Linked DNA regions of Drosophila melanogaster. Changing the gene in region 2 together with the main gene of any one other region gives a genetic interaction. Each region holds a gene or a part of one and is shown on either strand. Other genes may lie near its edges. The genes, in order: klar, hkb and eg.

Region 1 (7,143 bases), on a different chromosome or scaffold from region 2:
ATTCATTTTCGAGAGTTTCTCTTCTCTCTTAGCTCTGCTTCCTCTTCTTTGCGCTCAGCAAACACAACACAGCAACAAAAAAAAACACGCTACCACACACACACACACACTTGCAGCTAAGGGAAAAGGCTTTTCTTTTCATATTTCGCTTACTTTTTGCTTCATTAACAACTATACGTGGAAAGTGCTGTGGAAATTTGATTATAAAAAAACACTCGCCATGATTCCGATCCTCTCTAACTTTTCGCGTTGTCTCACTCACGCTCACGCACTCACTCTTATTATCTGTCTCTTTTCTCGCGAGCCCGACGAAAAATTCCGTCCGCTAAATATTTTCCACGATTTTTTCGTCGAATTTTGAAATGGAACTAATTGAAAAATACCCTTGCGTGTGCTCACAAAAACCCTAAAAAATACCAAGGTGCGTCTATATACTATACTATATATATACCAGAAGTATACCGCAGCAGTTCAGGGTTGCCAGGCGGCCTAAGTGACTACGCTTAAGCTGGTCACTCTGACTCTGCCGGTTTTAACAATTTTACTGAAGTCTCGCTAATTTAACAACAAATATAGTTATGCTGTCCCTAAGCGATCCCAACAATGCTGGTGGCATTCCCGACAAGGCGTGGCAGCCGCACTTCGTGACCCTGGAAACGAGGTGAGTCCGGAGCTTGAATGCTCGATAATCGCCGAAACTGAAGACTGAGCATTTGTTTATCACATTATTTGTGGCATTTGTGCCCCGCGCAGCATGGGAGAAATCACCGTGGAGCTGTACTGGAAACACGCGCCCAACACCTGCCGCAACTTTGCCGAACTCTCGAGAAGGGGCTACTACAACAACGTGGTGTTCCACCGGATCATCAGGGACTTCATGATCCAGGGCGGCGATCCCACGGGCACTGGCCGCGGAGGCGCCTCCATCTACGGATCGGAGTTCGCGGACGAGCTGCACGGCGACTTGAGGCACACGGGCGCGGGCATCCTCTCGATGGCCAACTCTGGACCGGACACCAACGGGTCCCAGTTCTTCATCACGCTGGCGCCCACGCAGTGGCTGGATGGCAAGCACACGATCTTCGGCAGGGTCTACACGGGCATGGAGGTGGTCAAGCGGATCGGCATGGTGGAAACCGACAAGAACGATCGCCCCGTGGATCCCCTAAGGATCATCAAGGCCAAGGTGGAGAAGCTGTGAGCCAAGGAGGTGGATTTTTTGGAGGAACTGCTAGAATAAGTACGATTTAAACAAGCGAAAGGTATCTTTCCATATGGATTTTATAACACTGATTATATGTATTTACGGAATGACTAGAAAGACAAGATCTCTTTGATTGGTTGATCACAGGATAGCGTAGCCCTATTTTACATGGTGCTGTCCAACATGTCCACCAGCCGCTTGATCTGCCTTCTGCGGAAGAGAAAGTCCATTACACTAAAGGGATCTGTCTTGAATTGACCCACTTACATGCGCTGACCCAGCTGCTCTGTGGGTTTCATCGACTTGGTGATTTCCTCCGCCTTGGCCAGCAATTGGTACTGGCACTTGATATTCGCGTCCAAAGTGTCCGTCAGCTTGTTGACCGCGTTGCGATGGACCTCCACGTTGTCGGCCGTTATGGAGGAGATTGAGTGCAGCAGGTTGCCCAGGTTTTCCATCAGATTGTCCACCGAGCTGGCCAAGTACTGAGCCTCCAGTTCGATGTCGCTCAAGACGCTGCCGTCCACTTCGGGAATGTTGCGCGACTGCAGGAACCGCCGCGTGAGCAGACCGTTGCCGGAAGTGGCTCCAATGGGACCCATGGAGCTCAGGGGCGTGGTGTGCTCCGAGGAGTAGGCCGAAGCCGCCACGCGCTCGCGCAACTTGGCCTCTAGATCGTGGGCCACAAAGTGGCGCATCCCGTCGGAGTCACTGGTTTCGCCGTCCAGCTCGTAGGGCACAGCTGAAAGAAGGAAGATGCTTTAGTCAGGAACTATGGGTAGATAACCTAGAACCCACTGCTCTCTGCCTTCAGTCTGTGCCTTTCGATGTCGCCGGAACTGCCCTTAGAGTTGCTATTCGAGTTGCTGTTGTCCTCCTCCTCCAAGGGATCGTCTTCCTCGTCGGGATCCTCGCCCGAATCCAGGTTAAGGTATTTCTCGCCGTTGGGTCTTGTCTTTGTGCTTCCGGGAATCGCAGCATGGCCAGTGGCTGTGGGCGTCAGATCCTGGAGCACGTGCTCTGGCACCGCTCCCGGATACTGAGCCAGGAACGGAATTTCCGTGTAGGAGGAGGCGGGCGTGGCTCCGGATCCAGAACTCCTGGCTGCCCCTTCCGATGGGCCACTCTCCTCGGCCACATAACCGTAACGTGGGCGGATGGGAATGTCCTGGTGGCGGTGCGACATTCTGCACTGCTCTTTTCAATCCAAGGAACTTTAGGCAGACTAAGAAATGTATGTCAATTTTCTGAATGAAAACCAAAACAAAGCATTTACTGGTATATACCAAATGGTTATCGATAACATCTATTTATCGAATGTATTTGCATTAGGCCCTGTTCAGGCTGAGGTCCACCTTACCTATATCGAGCCTTTTTTACGTAGGATTGACCTATGCAACTTGATGTGCGTAAACTATATTTTCCTAACCCTGATGGAAATTTCGGTTTTAGTGAGAAACAGATTTCAGATGTTATTTGGTTGAGTATATGACAGTTCGATAGTATCGCACACTTACTCTTCACGATTTTGCTTTTACCAAGAAATGGTCACACTCCAGCTCGCACTATCGAGTCATCGATAGGACCGATAGGCCAGCCCGTTAAATCGAAGACAGTCGTGTTTATAATTTGCGGCTCCGAGGTGTGCGGCGCGCATTGGGCAGACTGGAGTGAACTAAGTAAATCTGCAGCGTTCTAATTTAATTGCGCGATGAGCGCGTAAAAACACACCTGCGTAGCGCTGCAATAAAACCAATGTAGATTTTTGTTTATATGTTCGCGTTTCCATCGTATTTTTCGAGTCTTATTCGTTTTAATTGTTAGTGCTCGTACGCTAAGTGAATTGCTAGCAACTTGGGGCTAAAAGTGCCAAAAAGAGCCAGAATCGAAAAGAAGCGGCTAAAGAGGAATAAGCGAAAAGGAAGCAACGAAAACGGTGTTTTGCTCTCTTTCTCCTCTCTCATCCTCGCCATGTGTGTGCGTGTGCAAATGTGTGTGTTGGCGTCGCTAAAAAAGTGCATGTGAAGATTAGGAAAATAATAAGGAAGGCAACGAAAAGTAAAATAAAATTTGATGTACAAAATACGCAAATTGGTGACAAACAATGTACAAGTGGCATACATGAAATAAAGTTTTATGCAAAAAAAACAAAATCGACTGCAGTGCGTGCACTTGTGTGTATGTGCCGCTGCATATGTGTATGTGTGCAGTGTGGAAATAAAGCAAGAGAGAAAAAAAAACTGTTTGCAGCCGGGGTACAAATTCCAATTGGAGTCTCAAGGAGCATAAATTCCCATTCGACGCATGCGTGGCTGCTAAAAAAAGCAAGTAAGTTAAATTGTTTGTACTAAAGAATCTTATAAAATGCAACTGAAAATGGATAAAAGTGTAAAAAAAAGGAAAGACTTTTTTGCCTTCTCTGTTTTCTACGGGTACGTACGAATGTGTGTGTGTGTGTGCTCTCTTCTATTTTGTTCTTGACTTCTTGTTCTTTTCTTCTTCTTGGCCAGTTACTCTTATGCTTTGTCTTTCTTCTCAGGCCGTTCTGCTTCTTTCTTTTAACTGCAAATTGTGCAGTCAGCAAGTATGAGAGCGAGAAAGAGACAGCGATCTTTCTTTTTCACCCACCCACTTCTTCCCCTCTTCCTCTAGCGGTTATATTCGCTTTATTGTATTGGTGCTTTTCCTATCTATATCTACCGTTATGTTTCGATTGCGATTTCGTAATAACTGCGATAATATTTGCTCTCTCTCGCTCTTCTTCTCTTTCGGCTTTCCACTCTCTTCCCTTTTAGTTATGTGTGTGTAACTGCACATTTGAATTGTTGTTGTTTTTATTAAAATGCGTGGGTTGATTTTTCAATCAATCAATCAATCGTTTATTTTGGCATCGATAATATGGAAAAGTGGATTGATATGTGGACAAGAAAAGCATGTGATGAATCAGGAGAAAGGAATTACTCGATAATTAGCTTCTAACTTTTATATTCTGTAAAAAAATGTATTTTTAAACGTCTAAATCCAATAGGAAAAACAAGCAAGTTGGTCGAAAATAAAAGAACTCAATTTCTGGATCCTTGTTTTGTTAAGTATTTCCCTATTTCGCACTTTAAATTCCATTCCATTTCTATAAACAAATGTTGTCGCACTCTTACTGTTTATTTACATCGCATCGAAGAAAGATTTTCCATTTTCATGGGCGACACTTGAACGGGGTTTTCTCTGGCCTTTTCCCACAACCATTTCCTCGTCGAGCACTTAAATGAAAATGCTGTTTTTATTTATTGATTTCCATATTGCATTCATCTCGCGTTTTCCCGCTCGCCCACTCGATGACCCGCTGACCCAGCGGGAAATGGAAAATCGTTTACTGCAACATTTTACTGGTGCCCTCTTCCTAGATTTCCCACCCTCCCCTCTCGTGGGTTTCCCCATTTTCCTCGGGGCGGGGTTAAGGCGATGCCTTGGAGCAGATTAAACGCGCGTCCTAATGCGATTTGCATTCGTCTTTCCCCCGCTTTTCCTTCGACTTTCCAGTACATCGTGCCCGGTTTGGGGTCAGCGACTAGGAAATCTAATTGAGGAAATTCCTATTATTTTCCACTCGCGCGCCGCCTGCTCTTTCATTTTCATTTTCCCCAGCTTAACCCCAAAGTGTTTTGGCTTTAACGCTCACGTGCCGAGTCTCTTTGGGCCAAAGACCTGAAGTCCCAATATGTCAAAATCCCATCTCATGTGCGTGGCCAATTTTGGCCAGGTCTGGTCGGTCTTTAAGCCATGTTTCCTTCTCCTCCGAGATAAGCGTGTTAATGGCTCATTAGCAGTGGGTCGGTTTAGGTCACTTTGGAGCCAAATTGCCTAACCGAAGACTCGAAAATAAGCGAAATATCAACGAGTTTTTAGGCCCAAATCTCTCCCACACTCTTAGCGGCTCTCAAATGGCGGGAAAGTAATGAAGAAATAAATACAAATCATCCAGAAGGAAGTTGAAAATTATTGAATTCATAAAGGAAACGAAAAATCAATCCCAAAGAATGATTGTCAATATCTAATCTCCTAATGTTCGAGTTCGATTAACACAATTGTGTATAATTCCACTTTCCTCTAACTGTTTTCTTAAAATTTTTTGTAAGCCAAATTGAGGTCAGGAAAATTCTTTCAACTCTTGTTCTCTAAAAATAAAAAAACTCGGCATACAAACTTTTTGCCTGATCATCTCTACAGTCATTGTCTTCTCAATTTGGAACTAATTTGGGTAGGGAACTTCAAAAGTGCAAATGAATTTATGAACATTTGGGGTTCTTTTCTTCTGAATAGTAAAAAGGTCTTGGAAAGCAGTATTGAACAAATAGTATACTTAATAGTAGGTACGAATTACTCTAAAACCAAAAATTACAATTTTGTAACTGACATTTTATTCACACCCACTTTTAATATAACTTCTGTGGCACGCTTTTGTTATTTATCTTGCATTATTCGCCCTCATTTCTGATGCTTACATTAATGCACACCCTTCTCGGAATTCATCCCCTGCATTTTGAAGGTGTTATATGTTATATACTGACTGTTATACTGGTGTTCGTTCACCCCCTAGACTTTAAATTTCCACCCGATGTAAGCGATGTTGGTCTTCATTCTTGCTCGCCAGTTTAATTACAGCATTTCTGATCATTGATTCACTTGCTTCGCTGAGCAACTTTTACAGATGAGATCATCTCATCTGGAATTCCCCACCCCAAACCCCTTTTAATTAACAGTTTCTTATGTATGCTCGAATTTATTCCGCAATGTTTTCCACAAAGAAATTGCGCAATGATGGCGGAAATCTTTCCGAGATCTTCATCTGATTTTCCCTAAGTGAGCTCACTTTGCTTTGGGATTTCGCAAACGCCTGTCAAAGTTCCGTAAACATTTCATCTCCAAAGAACTGGAGTTCTATTATACATTGTATATTGTTGTTTGTTCCACTTATTCCGCCAATATGGATTGACCTCCTTCTGATTTGTTTACAGCCAGCGGAAAATGATGGGTTAAGCGAGGAGGGTCAAAGGGGAGGTGCCGTTTGATGGCTGTGTTTTGTGGAAGGTGTAAAATGAAAAGCGAATCGTTTACCTGGTAATTTTTGTTTTTTTGCTTTAGCTGTTGCCTTGTTTTGGTTTTTCCCCATTGAGAAATAGTTTTTTGTGGCCACGTAAATAGATTTTGAAGGCATGCTTTGGAGAAATTCAATATCAAACCTAAACTATATGTTGTATTCAGCACCTGTTTGATTTGGTTTTGATTGCTTTCGATAATCGAATGTGCATCTGATCGACGTGAATCATCTGAATCATCAGGGTCTTTCAATTTGTTGATCAACTTGAGATGAGCATTTCCCCTTTCCCTTTTCCCGGCGCGCAACTTTTCCTTTTTTCTGTATTTTTGGTGTCCAAATATTGACCTCGCTCCGTCGTCTTCTGCCTTCTCCTATTTGTTTTCCCGAATAAATCTTTTCCCCTTAACGATGTCCGCATTGTTTGCAGCTCATTAATTTTCCAAAGGTTTTTCTCTCAATTTTACCCGGCTCTTTGATTTTTTATCTGCATTTCCGCATCGAGTTTGTGTTTTTCTCCTCAGCTTCTTTTGACGCACACGAACATGCAACTGTTTGTTGCATGTTTCTTTCTGGAGGGGGCGGGTAGGAAAGGCACTCCTACAAATTATGTCAAACTATCTGTAAACGAAAATCTCATTTGGCCACTGTGTCAGCTGCTGAAGTCAATCACCAGACGGTCGCTAATTAATTTCCATCTTTTCTAGCAGCAAACGAAGTTTTTTGTTCGGAAGTCTAATTTGTTGGTATCAGCTTTGATTATTTTGCATTTGAAATTAACCTTGAATTCGGTAGACAAACACACCAAATTTATTCAGCAAATTCATTGGGAACCGGTTCGCATGTT
Region 2 (6,046 bases):
ACACCATATCGAAATGGCCTACTTCTTGATATATGATATGATATGACTAAAGTCCACATACATTATTGTATTCATTAATAAAAAAACTCAAAAATAGTATCATGATTCCATAAACCTTCTACTTCTTTCGGGCTCAGTGATTTCGACGTTTGTATTGACGGATAAACATGCCTAGAGAGGATCGGCAAGTGAATCTGGTCAAGAACATGTATGCGTTTTAGGTTAGGAATCCCATGGTTGCCGAATGCCCTCGTCGATCAATCCAAACTGCCCGCTTGTTAATTGCCAACTATCACGCATCTTGAAAAATGATTGTTTGAACTTGTTGCAGAGAGTGGTCTCAAGAAGTTTTAGGTGCACTGTGTATCTGGAGCAAATAGTCGCAATTGTAAAGGATCGAATGGAGACGGCATAGATCATTGTGTCACTTGTGCGATGTGAACGACGTCGCACTGTCTGGCCGATATGAAAATATTCTCAGGCCCGAGAAAAACAATAAGCAGGTAGGGGACACGTAATGTAAGGACTGCACGCCCCTATCAAGCGGACAAATTTTCGATTGTCCGGGAAGCTGGGTGTCCACCTAGATCCGCTTTCATAAACTGCACCTATTGTCCGCTTTTAGAAGTGCCATTGATAGTGACCAGGAATCGATTGCTGTTCGAACAACGAATTCCAAACAAAAACACATAGGTAATTTTTCGACTTGTCGCAGACACTGTGTCTAGGTCTCTTTGCTCAGGTGAACCACTTTATTGTCCTAATGAATGACGCAAGCTGTCAGCTGAGTAATGGCGAATTTACGTGGGCACATCTGGACCGAAAGAGGACTGTGGGAAAGATTGCCAGCGACACGAATGCACTTTTCCCTTAGTTTTGGCGCTGCTCATTATCGCGGCTTGGTCGGTTTCAGCTTGTCTGGGGTGCTGTTTCATTTTGGGTAATTTGTGAATGAAATTTGGATAGATTCGGACCAAATGACTTGTGCCTTTTAATCCTTTTATGACAGTTCAAATGCGATTTTCCGATTTGCCTTTGATATTGGCGGCATGACGAGCGGTTTGTCGCACGATCTGGTTAACGGGAAGTGACAGTGGATCATTAACATGTAAAGGTAATGGTTCTTGGTTTTTAGCTCCTCGTATACTCGTAATGGAACTATGCATTTAATCATTGGGGAACAAAATTGCAAGTTCTATGTACATTTCTCCTCATTTCTAACACCGCCCAGGTAATAAAGGTCTTTCTTGTACGGTTTTTCTTGTGTATTTTGTGTTGTAAACATAAATCGTATAATTCAACTCTCAGATATAACCATGATCGTATAATTTTGTGTATAAATCGTATGTATCTGGTAACCACGATCAGCTTATAAAACTGTTAAAGTATCAGCTTTAGTATAACTTAGACGTAAATCCGGGCATCTCTTAAATTTCTTAATCGCTTAGCATATGAGGAAGGATCACTTAGGGATTATTTACACATGTGCCGAATATCATAACCAGTCACGTAGCTGGAAGTGTAAATACGCGTTAAAAAATAAATATCTCAATATTTGCATATATCGTCGAGGTCCAAAGATTGGGTTTGGTGAGTGCGCCACATTGCGCCAGGTACGGCTGAGGTAGTTCTGTCCACGATTGGCTAGGCAGTTTTTGCTGGCGTTAAGTTTCGTTTCGTTGGATTCGGTTCGGTAATGCTTGTTTAAAGCGTGCAAGCGCTTTACAGATCGCTGGAATGCAGGGTCGCGTGGCAAGGGGAAAGCTCGCCAGGATTTCCCTCTCAGTAGCCATAAAGGTATGAGTACATGGGCACGAAGATGGACGGGCCCAGCTGGCGCTCCTGCGGCATGTGCGTCTTCATGTGCTTCTTTAAGTGGTCGCGTCGGCCAAACTTCTTTCCGCAGGCACTGCAAGGATACGGCCGCAGTCCGGTGTGGATTCGCTTGTGACGCGTCAGTTCCTCATTGCGGGTGAAGGTCTTGCCGCATGTGTTCACGTCGCACTTAAATGGGCGTTCGCCTGCAGAACAGAATGGAGATAAGTGAGTGGGACTCTCGGGGTCAGATGTGTTCTGGTCGACTTACCGGTGTGGATGCGGATGTGGCCCTTCAGCTGGCCGTTGTTGGAGAAGGCCACGTCGCAGTTGGGGCACTTGAACTTCTTCGGCCGCTGCTTGCGGCTGTTGAGCGCCTTTAACTGTGCGTCCTCGGCCATCACGCGGGCGTACTCTTGCTCCATCAGGCCCATAGTGAACGGGTCCATGCCGAAGCCCGGGACGGCAGTGGGCGTGGAGGCAGCAGCGGCTGCTGCGGCGGCGGCAGCGTAGTAGAGATCGCTGGCGGCCGACAGGAATGGAGCGTGCTGGTTTGGCGGAGCCAAGGATGCGGTGGCGGCGGCGTGCGTGTCCAACGGCGACGACTGCGGGTGTGAAAAGACGGGGTGCGGGGCGGCGTCCAGCAGCGGGGTGGAAGTGCGGGTGTAGCTGCTGTGGTTCAGGGCCTCCTCGTAGCAGGACTTGCTGCTGTTGCTGCTGCTTGACGCAGAGGAGGATGCGGAGGAGAAGTCTCCGTCGCAGTCGTGGCCGAAACTGCTGCTGGCCAGCTCCGTCTTGATGGTAATCGCCTCCGGCTCCTGCTTCACTGTCCTGGGTGCCGCCGAGGTCGCCGCCTGGCGCTGAGTATCCCAGGGTCGGAAAAGTCGCGAGTAGGTTTGCGGGGGATGCAGGTTAATCGTCGACATTTTGCAGTAGTTTTAATGGAAGGTCTAAATTGCTCTCTCGCGACACTAAATCACTTGGATGGAACACTTGTGATTATGATTTTGGACTTGATTTGGTTGTGCGGAGCTGTGTGTGTGCTGCGAGATCTCGACTCGAACTGAGCTCTCCTGCCCCGACGCCTCTCAATTTAAACCCAGGACTCTGGCTACCTACACTTCGTATACCCAGGCAGTCATTCGTCCTGCGTTCACACACACGCGCACACACATACACACTCACCCGCACACGCACACGCACACTGAGGGTCGCTTCATTCATCGATTATTTGTCTGTCTGAGGATGTGCGAGCGAGAGGGATGCTTCGGGGTGGGTTTCGCTTTCAGAAACGGGCACGGATTCGGTTCGGTTCGGTTTCGAGGGCACAACAATGGCGGCCCGCTCGCACACACACTCGCAGCTGAAGTATATAAGGCGCTGGTGTGTGCGTGTAGTCCTGCGTAGTTTTCCCGGTCCGGAAAATCGAACTCCCGACCGAGTGGCGGGCAGCTTTCCTAACTTGCGCTTTCTACTCTTTCCACTCCGTACTACATATACTGGGCCCAGGCGATCCCAGCAGCGCGGTGCCTCCGATTTGGGCGCAACTTTAGCAGAGCATTTGCGTTTCACGGTTATGTTATGAATTGTACTCACACCCACCCACCGACCATGATTCCCGGGTGGTTGGCTTTGGGCTTGGCTTGGCCCACTCTCCCAATCCCAATCCCACTCCCAATCTTATACCCATTCCCAGTCACAGTTTCCTCCTCCTTCCCTCCGTCCAGACACAGATACTTCTCCAAATGTATAATTCGGTTATCTGCGGTTCGGGTTTCCTGTGCCCGATGTGGCAGCAATTTATTATTAAATTAAGTGCTTGTTCGAGGGTGGCTCCGCGACATCACGAATATGCAAAGTGCGGGCCAAGCAGCTGGGCAGGATTTGCAGAGATTGCCAGGCTTGAGCGTGTTGTTCAGTTGGTACAGTTCGCCTAAACTTTATCTTTATCTCTGGGGGTGCTTGAGAAAAACTTTACTGGCTCGTGGAGGCGTTTGCCCTAACGCGATTCTGGCTGCAGACTACGAGAACAGATACAACATACTTTGGCTGAATGTGCGTTGCTACACCTAATGTTTTAATTTAGAAGGCGATATTGGCTTTAAGAGTTCGTGTTTAAGTTCACAAGTTTTTCGCATGCATTGGTAGCCGCTACAAATTGCTGTTGCGTTTACTTTCCACTCCAATTTTCTGTATGAATTTGAGTTTAAAGGGAAAATGGTACTTAATATTAATACATACCCTCTAAGGATTCCCACGATAGGATTAGTAGTGTTCTGAGTTCAATCTTATTTTCTAGTCAACAAGCATTGGAAGTAAGCCTTCTCTAAATTATGAATATATGCCTCCTATTTTTGCAGCCAAATGTATTATATACCTCTATATTCTTCGACAGATACCTGAAATAATTTCGAAATCAAATTCTAATTCTAATCAAGAGACGACGGATACAGCATATAATCATAAAAATGTTTGCTGCTAGAATTAAAAGAAAGATTTGCGGAATTGAACGAAATATTTTCGTTTTGTTGTTTTTTAAAAGAGTATAAAACTGCTGTCATCGGACCAAAGCGATAATAACTTCCTAAAAGATATCTGCTTTCTAGGGAAGGTGCATTCCGCAGGCCTAGCGCCTTATGCCCCTGTCCTGCCATTTAGAACAAAAGGGAAATCATTGGGATTACGTCCAACTGCATTGTTCGACCAATGCTAATGAGTGCAGCGGCATGGCTGGGTTGTTGTGGGTTTGTTAGTACCTATGTATATGTAGAACCGTCCATAAAACGCGGTCCGCGGAGAACATTTCATTCACGACTGAGCTCATTTAGTAAATTCATTCATAAACTGGGATTGCCGTGAGCAGGGACGATCCTGTGATCTGGATAGATCCCTTGGTGGTCGGGTGGCAGGTAGATAGCCGATTGGGCTGGCTTGAGGGTGGTGATACTGTAAAATTCACTAGCTTATTTGCGTAGGTTTGGACTTGGGCTTGCAGCAGCCTGGGATTTTCCGCAGTAGATTCTTAAAGTAATGAGCGCCGGTATTTCCACGCAATCGTCTCACAGCCCGACGGGTCGTAAACTGCAACCTACCTAGGACAATGCGGCACTCATAACCGGTATGAAAGGAAGTTATAAAATAATTAGATATGGTAACCACTCGGCCAGCGAACGTGAATTCATTCATGGAATGGCAGGATTGCCTGTAACGATTAGCTGCACTGTCCAATACCTGACGGGATATACACCCGAGATAAGAACACGACGTAATATTCATATTTGGATTAATTAGGAAATTTCACATGCGCTCGAGCTGGGACACGCCACATATGAGGAAAGTACGTGAATTGTTGATATAGGATGGACGTAGACCCAGACGGCGACATGATCAGGGGAAACTTCCAGCGTAACTAAACTTCAGTCGGCAAATTACTTTGCCACAAGACACATAAGCAAGATTACGTTTCAAAGAAGTGGAATCGCAAGATTTAGCAAGCTAGACCTGATCCCCGCTAATAGTACCTATCATTCCAAGTGTGTAAACTTAATAGAGTCTTCACGAGCACATAGATTACGACTGGACTAGGGGTAGGGGGTTTCAATAAGCCCCCAGCTCACTATTTGGTGATCCTGGACGAAGATTGAAAGTTCGAACAATTTCGAAATGGTTTTCCTGATTGAATTTTCTGAATTATGTTTATGCGGAAAAGGGCTATTAGCTTTTTCAAAAAAGCATGTCCAATGCATGTTTTACAAGGAAACCAAATTACAAGAAAAAATTTCAACTTTCTTAATGTATAACTTTTAAAAACACTCGTAGAGTAATACCTAGACTATCAAATGCCCGTTAATCTGCTCTGAGATATTGATAAGAATCTGGAATACCAATAATAATATCAGTAGTATTTTTTGTCGTTGTAATTTGTTAGGTTAAAAATGATATGTTTTTTAGAGTATATTTTAGTAAGTGACTTAAATTTTACATCTAGTAAATGTGGTCAAATTGTTATTCTTATTTATTATTATCAGAATTAGTAATAAGAGGTAAAGAACTGGAAATATCATTTAATTCGAAATAAACTTTTTATTTTAAATTTTACTCAATATGGGAAAATTGATACAAACAAACATTTAATTTTTGTGCAATACAAGGGATCATATATACATTTCGGTGGATTCAGATAATATGTTATTCCTTTTAATGCACAAAAACAAGCTTGCGTTCCAAAAAT
Region 3 (6,969 bases), on a different chromosome or scaffold from region 2:
TTCAAGTGTTTGCCAATCTCCGATTGGCTTGACTGAAGTTTTCACTGAAAATTTGTAGTGGGAAAAAGTCACTTTACTGAGTTGATCCTTAAGCTTTATTTAAATAGAAAACTTTAAAATGTAAGTAATAAATTTAAATTAAATTTGTGTAAAGCTTAACTAACAACAATATGAACTTGCCAAAAACAAAAAAACAATTACTTGTTGAAGATTTGGTGCATCATTGGCATTTACAATTTCCTAGCGATTTAGTTAATTTTAAAAGTGATTTAAAAAGTATATCTTCCAAATCTCTTATTGATAGAATTAAAATTCGGGAAATTCTATATCCTGAGTACAATTTGTTTAAGTCCGTCTTGAAAGTAAGCCAACCAACTCTGTTCATAATTAGATTAAAGTTTCTTGCTCTCCGCTCCGTATCGCTTCAAGTGGCCACAATTTGAGGCAGATTGCGCTCTAATAAATATGGGCAGCCATCTAAGCTAATGCCCCAACTCATCACCGAGTTGAGAGATGAGCACGCAAGCAGGCGAGATACGCATGCGCCCGTTGCCAAGGCCCAAACTTAATTAAAAATTTGGAGAGAGCGGAGGGAAAATTTCAGATTGCCCACGAGCTGAAGAAATTTTAATATGACGACCAAATTGCACCGCAGCAGCTCCAGGAGCTGCATCGCCACTTGGCAGATTATGACGACAACTATACTGACAGGCAGAGCCAGAGGAAACTACTCCAAGAAACTAGCCAGATTCAGTTGCAGTCGCAATCGGAGTCTCCGTTCCAGTTCATGGCTAAATGCTTTTGGCTGTGATAAATTACACGTCGTTTTAGAGTGTTGCGCTTCCTTGTTACTCCGTCAAGTGGTGTTGACACGGCCGCGGCGAATGCAGAGTATTAAACGATCTCCGCCGTGGCACTCTTCTTCCGTCCAGTGGTGTTATTAAAATGAAATCATCATCATCACCAAGTGACAGAAGCCGGGAGTCTGAGCCTGAGCCTGAGCCTGAGTCTAAGTCTGAGCTGAGATGAGTTGAGATGGAGGGACAGACAACGACTGGTCAAATGCCCGGGGATCACTTTAGTGGGCATCTCGGCGCACGAAGGCAGTCATCTGATCATGCTTATGACAGGAGAATTCAATTAGACATATGGAAACGCGTTGATTGTTCCACTGGCAATTTTGCGCCTGGTGGCAATCCGATTTAAGCAGCACAGAACTAGCATTGATTATTTTGCAATTGTTGTTGAAGTACCGTATCGAATGTATTTAAATGGATACCATTTAGCCCTAATAAAATTGATTCCTTGTTAAACAATCTCATGCAACTTTTATTTTATTTACGCTCACAAGAATATAGCTTTATATATACCATTAGTGGCAGAATTTTGTATTCAACCTAAAAGAATTCTGCAGTGCCCCCAGATAGAATAAACCAACATCTATGCATATGTTTTCCATGTGGTCATCTCCAATCGTTATCAATCCGACAAAGATTCACATAAAAATATTTAAATATACGAAAGACTAGGGAGGCGAACTTGTTTTCTCCATTTTGCAGGTCAAGCCACAAATAACCTCTGATGTTTTCTTGGTTTCTCCCAATGTTTGTTTACACTGATCGCCGGGCATTAAGTGCCCACCTCCTTGCCACATTAGTCGTCCAATACGAGTTCAATTGGATGCACATGCACAACGAAGCAAACCAGGGCCAACACTCTCGCGGCCAATACACTCAAATGATAACAGTACCGTGTGTAGAGTCAAACGGGGGTAAAAAGACATCAGCCAACAGCCAACCGCATCGACACAGTATTCAATGGAAACGAACGAAACGCTTGGAGATCGTGCCGGTGCCAACAGCCAACCACAGTTCAGCTCTCAGAAGATGCGACGCTTTAACATTTACGGAGAGCGGAGAGTCGCGAACCGAGCTGGAAACGTACAGCAAACATGTTCGAAGCGAGGTCGGTAGCAGGGTGCACTTGGAGAAAAATGTTAGCACTCTTAATATACATAAATGCGTTTTGACTTATTTCAGTTAGCGTTGTAGAAACAAAAAACTGCATTTTTTCAGGGTACTAACTTGTCAATAATATCTTTAATATATTATTTAATAATATATATTTAATATAATTGTTTTAAAATTCTCCCGAAAATAACAAATCTTGTTTCGTTAACAGTTCAGTCAACAGATCTTACCGCCATAACATTGCTGTTAAACCGGCAGAACGGAGCACGCGCACCATTCGCCACAGCAGCTGTTTGCCAAACAGGATTTCCTGCAGCGACGGCCGCCGATTAACAGTTAAGTTTCGCCGTGCCCTGCCACTGTTGCAAACGCACGCACACAATCTAGCGACGCGTGCGCTTTGTTGTCTTGTTGCCGCTGCTGTTGCTGTTAGTGCTGCTGTTCGTGCTGCCGCGCTGCAGATGCTGCTGCTGCTGGGGTAAGATGATCTTTGAGGCCAGGGCCGCGCTGCCAGTTCGAGTCTGTTTGGCGCTCAGAACGACGGCGACGATTTAGTCTCGGATGGACGCTACGCTGCCAAGCACCGTCAGTCAGGCTTTCGCTGTTCTCTCGCTCTCGCAATCGCATTATATCCGACCGATCGCGAAGTTTTTCGGCACTATGTGCGCCACGTGATTGCTGAAATCTCCTTCGAAAGCCGTCGCTATATCATCAGCGATAATTCGGATTTAAGGTGTCATGTGAAGAGTGTGTTTGATATAATCAGTTGATTTTCATTCAAACGTATCCCAGTGTGTGAAGTTAAAAAAAAAACTGGAAAAATTAACATCTAAAGAGGAAAAAATAAATAAATAGTGAGTTGGTAAAAACATCGAATTTATGCTGTTGTGGAAATATATGATCTGGAAAAGGTAAGATTTTGTTGTATATGAGCTTATGCTATTAAAAAATGGCTAAGTCTCCCTGCTGACAAACAAAACATATTAAGAGAATAAATAAAACATTTATTCATTGAATTAATGAGACAACAACAAGTTGAGATGCTGGACACATAATTCAAACGCTAAAACAATAGATAAATACAAGCAATATATATATTAAAGGCTTAATTGAATAAAAACCATTTTGCATAATTTCCATAAATTTGTCGGATGGTTGTTGTAAGTCAAAATAAATCGCAAATAAAAGATTAATACCGAAAACAATTGCATTATAAAAACCAAACCAATTAAAGACTGAAATTATACAATTTAATAATATTTTTAGCAATAATTGAAATACTTAGTACAAACTATTAAAATCAAAACAAAAAACCAACAATAAAAAGACAAATCTGTTGCGAAGAAATGGCCCAACTATCCCCAGCTATCAAGGACCAAGCTTAACTCCCATGAGTTCGTACTCACACCACTAAGGAGGACCAAGGAGAACCAGAAAAAGTGTAATGGTGAAGACAAAAGAAGCTCATTGACATGCTCATTAATAATGTTATTGCCTTTTGTGCGATAAGTGTCAAGAAATTTCTACAATAGGGGCTGCGAATGGACAAAGATGGGAGATATTCAAACATTTAATTGTCCAACTGCTGTCGGCAATCAAGCAGAAAAGGGCCAGGGGCAGCCTGAAGCGACTGGATCGTGGATCCTCGATCGCGAAGGAAGAAGGATCAAGGATGGAGGATGGAGGATGGAGGATGGAGGATGGAGGATGGAGGATGGAGGATGGAGGATGGAGGATCGCAGATCAAGAATTGCGGAAGCAGACAATTCAAACTAGAGCGTGTGACTGCTGAGTGGATTTGCATACTGCGAATGTCCGTCTCCAGTGGTTGGCAGGGCTAATAATAAAGCATATTACCGGCAATTGTGCGCGAGATGGAAGGCGATTCGGGTGTAGGAAGGGTTTGGGCTTGGGTTTGGGTTTGGGTTAGGGCTTGGACTTGGATTTGGATTGCAGATTGTGTCAATGCTCCGGGGTTCGGTTCAGTGGGCTGTGTTCTTGATTCTTGTTCTATTTTGTAGCGGCTTCAAAATATTTGAGACAATCGTGGTTTGCTTGTTTGAACACCTTTTCTCCCTCTGTTGCCTTTATCAGATTTGGCATTGTCCATCATTTTGTTTGCTTTAAAGGACACATTTTTTTGGGACCTTGTTTATTATTCCTATTGAGAGAAGTCCAACGTTCTGCCCACTTTTTTTCAGCTCTGTCAACAGCGAGTTGATGAGCTTGTTGAGAATGTGGCAGCGACCAACTGATCTGGTTCTTATTGTCTAAGCCGCTCTGAACTTGTCCCCATCGAGTTCATCTGCAGATCTCCATAGATTAGATCCGAACAATCTCCTCCACTTGGCTTGCGATCAATATACAGTTGTAGTTTCTGTAGCAGTTTAGGTTTCTAATTAATTGTCTGTTTCTGCCCAATGTGTAACATTAATCTTGGCTTAATCGATAAGTCTGACAGCCAAGATCGTTCCTATATCTGGTCTGATCTGTTCGGTTCGATATACACTCAGAAATGAACAATGGGGATTCTGTTTTTAAATTTGAAAGGAACCTGCAGAGTCAAATATTTCGAATTGGCACAACCAAAGACACTAGAATGTCTTTGGCACAACTCTCGTCTACTCATTGTTTTCCCACAAATCGAACTGGCCATCGGACCTAAGCATTGCATTCACCTTAAATTTGGGCTCGGCTTGAGGACTTGTAATTAGCTCGAAGCATGGGAATTATGTACTCCTCCATGACATCTACTACTTCTATGCGCTGACTTAAAGGGGTCCTAAAGATGCCCCAAGAACAAGACTCTCAAATATGCGCCCGGTTACGTGGATCAGTGGCCTTGGTCGTTGTCGTCGTGATAAAGCCAAAAAGATTGAGATGCCGCCTGCGGATAGGGATCTGCAAGTTTATAGCTCGAGCGTGCCGCTCAATTGGATTTCAATCGGGTTTCTCAATAAGGATCGAAATGATTTTTGACTTTTTGGTTCTTTATCTACGAAGTTCAGGTACGGCGAGATGTATTGCAATTTACAGCACTTCTATGCATATTAAGTGCATAAATATTTAGTTTTATGAGTGCTTATTTATGAAAGCAGTGCAGCAGTAATATAGGTTGTTCCCAATGTCGAAGGTAAATGCACCTATTTGATGTAATTATACTCATTTTTCGGCTAACACGATGCTTATGAATCCATTTCCCCAAAACTCCTCCATTCAGAGATCTTCTTTCTAGCTGAGTGCAATCTGGCTTACCACTCCAGCTCCACCACGAACTGCGGTTCTGAGTCTTTGGGACCCAGAGATGGAAGATCTCCTCGATGATTTTCCTGCTTTCTGAAAAAGTGCACCGCTGTGCCGAAAATTGTCACGGTTTCGCGGTCGATGGCTCGCTTGCTGTGAAGGTGCAAATTTAATGTTTGCCAATTTAGCAGCGCTCTGCTGTCACCTTTGGTGTCCATTAGCGAGCGTTTATATGCAAAGTGCCGAGCATTGGCAGGCCAGCTCCGGATCTGGCAGCCGGCGGGCTTTGGACGGGGCCAACCATTATCACAGAAGCAGCATCACGTTGTGGCCACACCACCTGCTGGGCGCATTTCGCGGAGCAGCTCCCTGCCACTTGCATCCCTGGTCCGGAAAATATCCAGACTGGGAAAACTCTGGGGAGCACTTAAGCTTGCTAGCTGGCTGTCATTGGAGGGAGTCAGGGCGTTCTGTGGCAGTTCTGGTTCTCAAAAGGGCCAACGAGAATTACGAAGATCCTGATGGTTACAGAGCCGCACGTAAATACTTGATTTTTATTTATGATAACAATACTTAAAATAATAAAAATATTAATTATTCTTATTATAATATTAATAAAAATAATGATAATAATAATAATATTAATAATAACAATAATAATTATAATAATAATAATAATAATAATAAGAACAATAATAATAATAATAATAATATTTATAATATTAATATTATATTATATAATATATAATATATAATATTATATTAATAATAATATTAATGATAATAATAATAATAATAATAATAATAATAATAATAATTATAATAATAACAATAATAATAATAATAATAATAATAATAATAATAATAATAATAATAATAATAATAATAATAATAATAATAATAATAATAATAATAATAATAATAATAATAATAACAGTAACAATACTAAAAAGAATAATCAGATTTAATCAAAAATGTATCCGTTTTACTTTTTTTTTTTAAATAAATGTTTCTCTCTTTAAAAAGGTTCTGTATAAATGTAATTAATTATTTAAAATTTCCCTTCTGACGACTAACAAGTAAAAGTTAAATTTCATTATCCTACCATTTGTTTTTGAATTGCTTGATCACATAGTTCATATAATTTTATTATCCTTGTATTGGACTTCACGATTTATTTATTATATATATTATCTCTTAAACAGTTTATATGTTTCTGTTTCTTCATCATAAAATAATATACTATACTATATTATAATATAATAAACTATACAAGTTATGGACGAAGAAGTCTGGCCATTTGTGGCCCGTATTTCCCCAAAAGTGGCAGCTAAGGCCTCCATGGAATACATTATTAGCGCACAAATGTGTTTAAGAATTTATATTGTATATCCATGACAAAATTGATCCCTCCCTCGGATTCTTCATGCTCTTTAAGTAGTTGACGCAAGATTTTCGCAGATATTTTATTTGCGCTTCGCCGTATCTTTTCTCGCTTGACCTTAGGCTTTATGGGCTAGCAAAACAAGTCACTGTAGTACATTGCATTAGATGTGTGAAAGAGTCTTCCCGGGAAAAGGGAGAGGGGTTCTCGGGCGAACGAGAAGGGAAGACGAGGTGCATGGTCTTCTGACATTGCCGCGACCGAAACTTTGATGGTGCAAGCCCAAACCGGTCGCTGCATACCTCAATTTCTATCCACGACCTGTAGCGAAATAAAAAGGCAAAATTGCGAAAAAAGAATAAAATAAAGAGA

Evidence for each region.
Region 1: of hkb (region 2) and klar, changing one suppresses a phenotype caused by changing the other (phenotypic suppression), as found in Drosophila melanogaster (one study listed by BioGRID).
Region 3: of hkb (region 2) and eg, changing one suppresses a phenotype caused by changing the other (phenotypic suppression), as found in Drosophila melanogaster (one study listed by BioGRID).

Annotation. Positions count from the first base shown.
Region 1 is NT_037436.4:536,288-543,430, reverse strand, and holds the start of klar (klarsicht), read left to right. Parts: upstream 1-2,816; 5' UTR 2,817-3,532; intron 3,533-7,143. Other genes in the region: Cypl (Cyclophilin-like), read left to right, coding at 579-661, 754-1,201; BORCS6 (BLOC-1 related complex subunit 6), read right to left, coding at 1,369-1,414, 1,472-1,946, 2,003-2,390.
Region 2 is NT_033777.3:4,343,763-4,349,808, forward strand, and holds hkb (huckebein), read right to left. Parts: upstream 2,885-6,046; 5' UTR 2,742-2,884; coding exon 2,087-2,741; intron 2,022-2,086; coding exon 1,783-2,021; 3' UTR 1,253-1,782; downstream 1-1,252.
Region 3 is NT_037436.4:21,806,357-21,813,325, forward strand, and holds the start of eg (eagle), read left to right. Parts: upstream 1-2,346; 5' UTR 2,347-2,448; intron 2,449-2,482; exon of another isoform or gene 2,483-2,881; intron 2,882-6,648; exon of another isoform or gene 6,649-6,729; coding exon of another isoform or gene 6,730-6,897; exon of another isoform or gene 6,898-6,918; intron 6,919-6,969. Other genes in the region: CG43895 (uncharacterized protein), read right to left, coding at 6,730-6,897.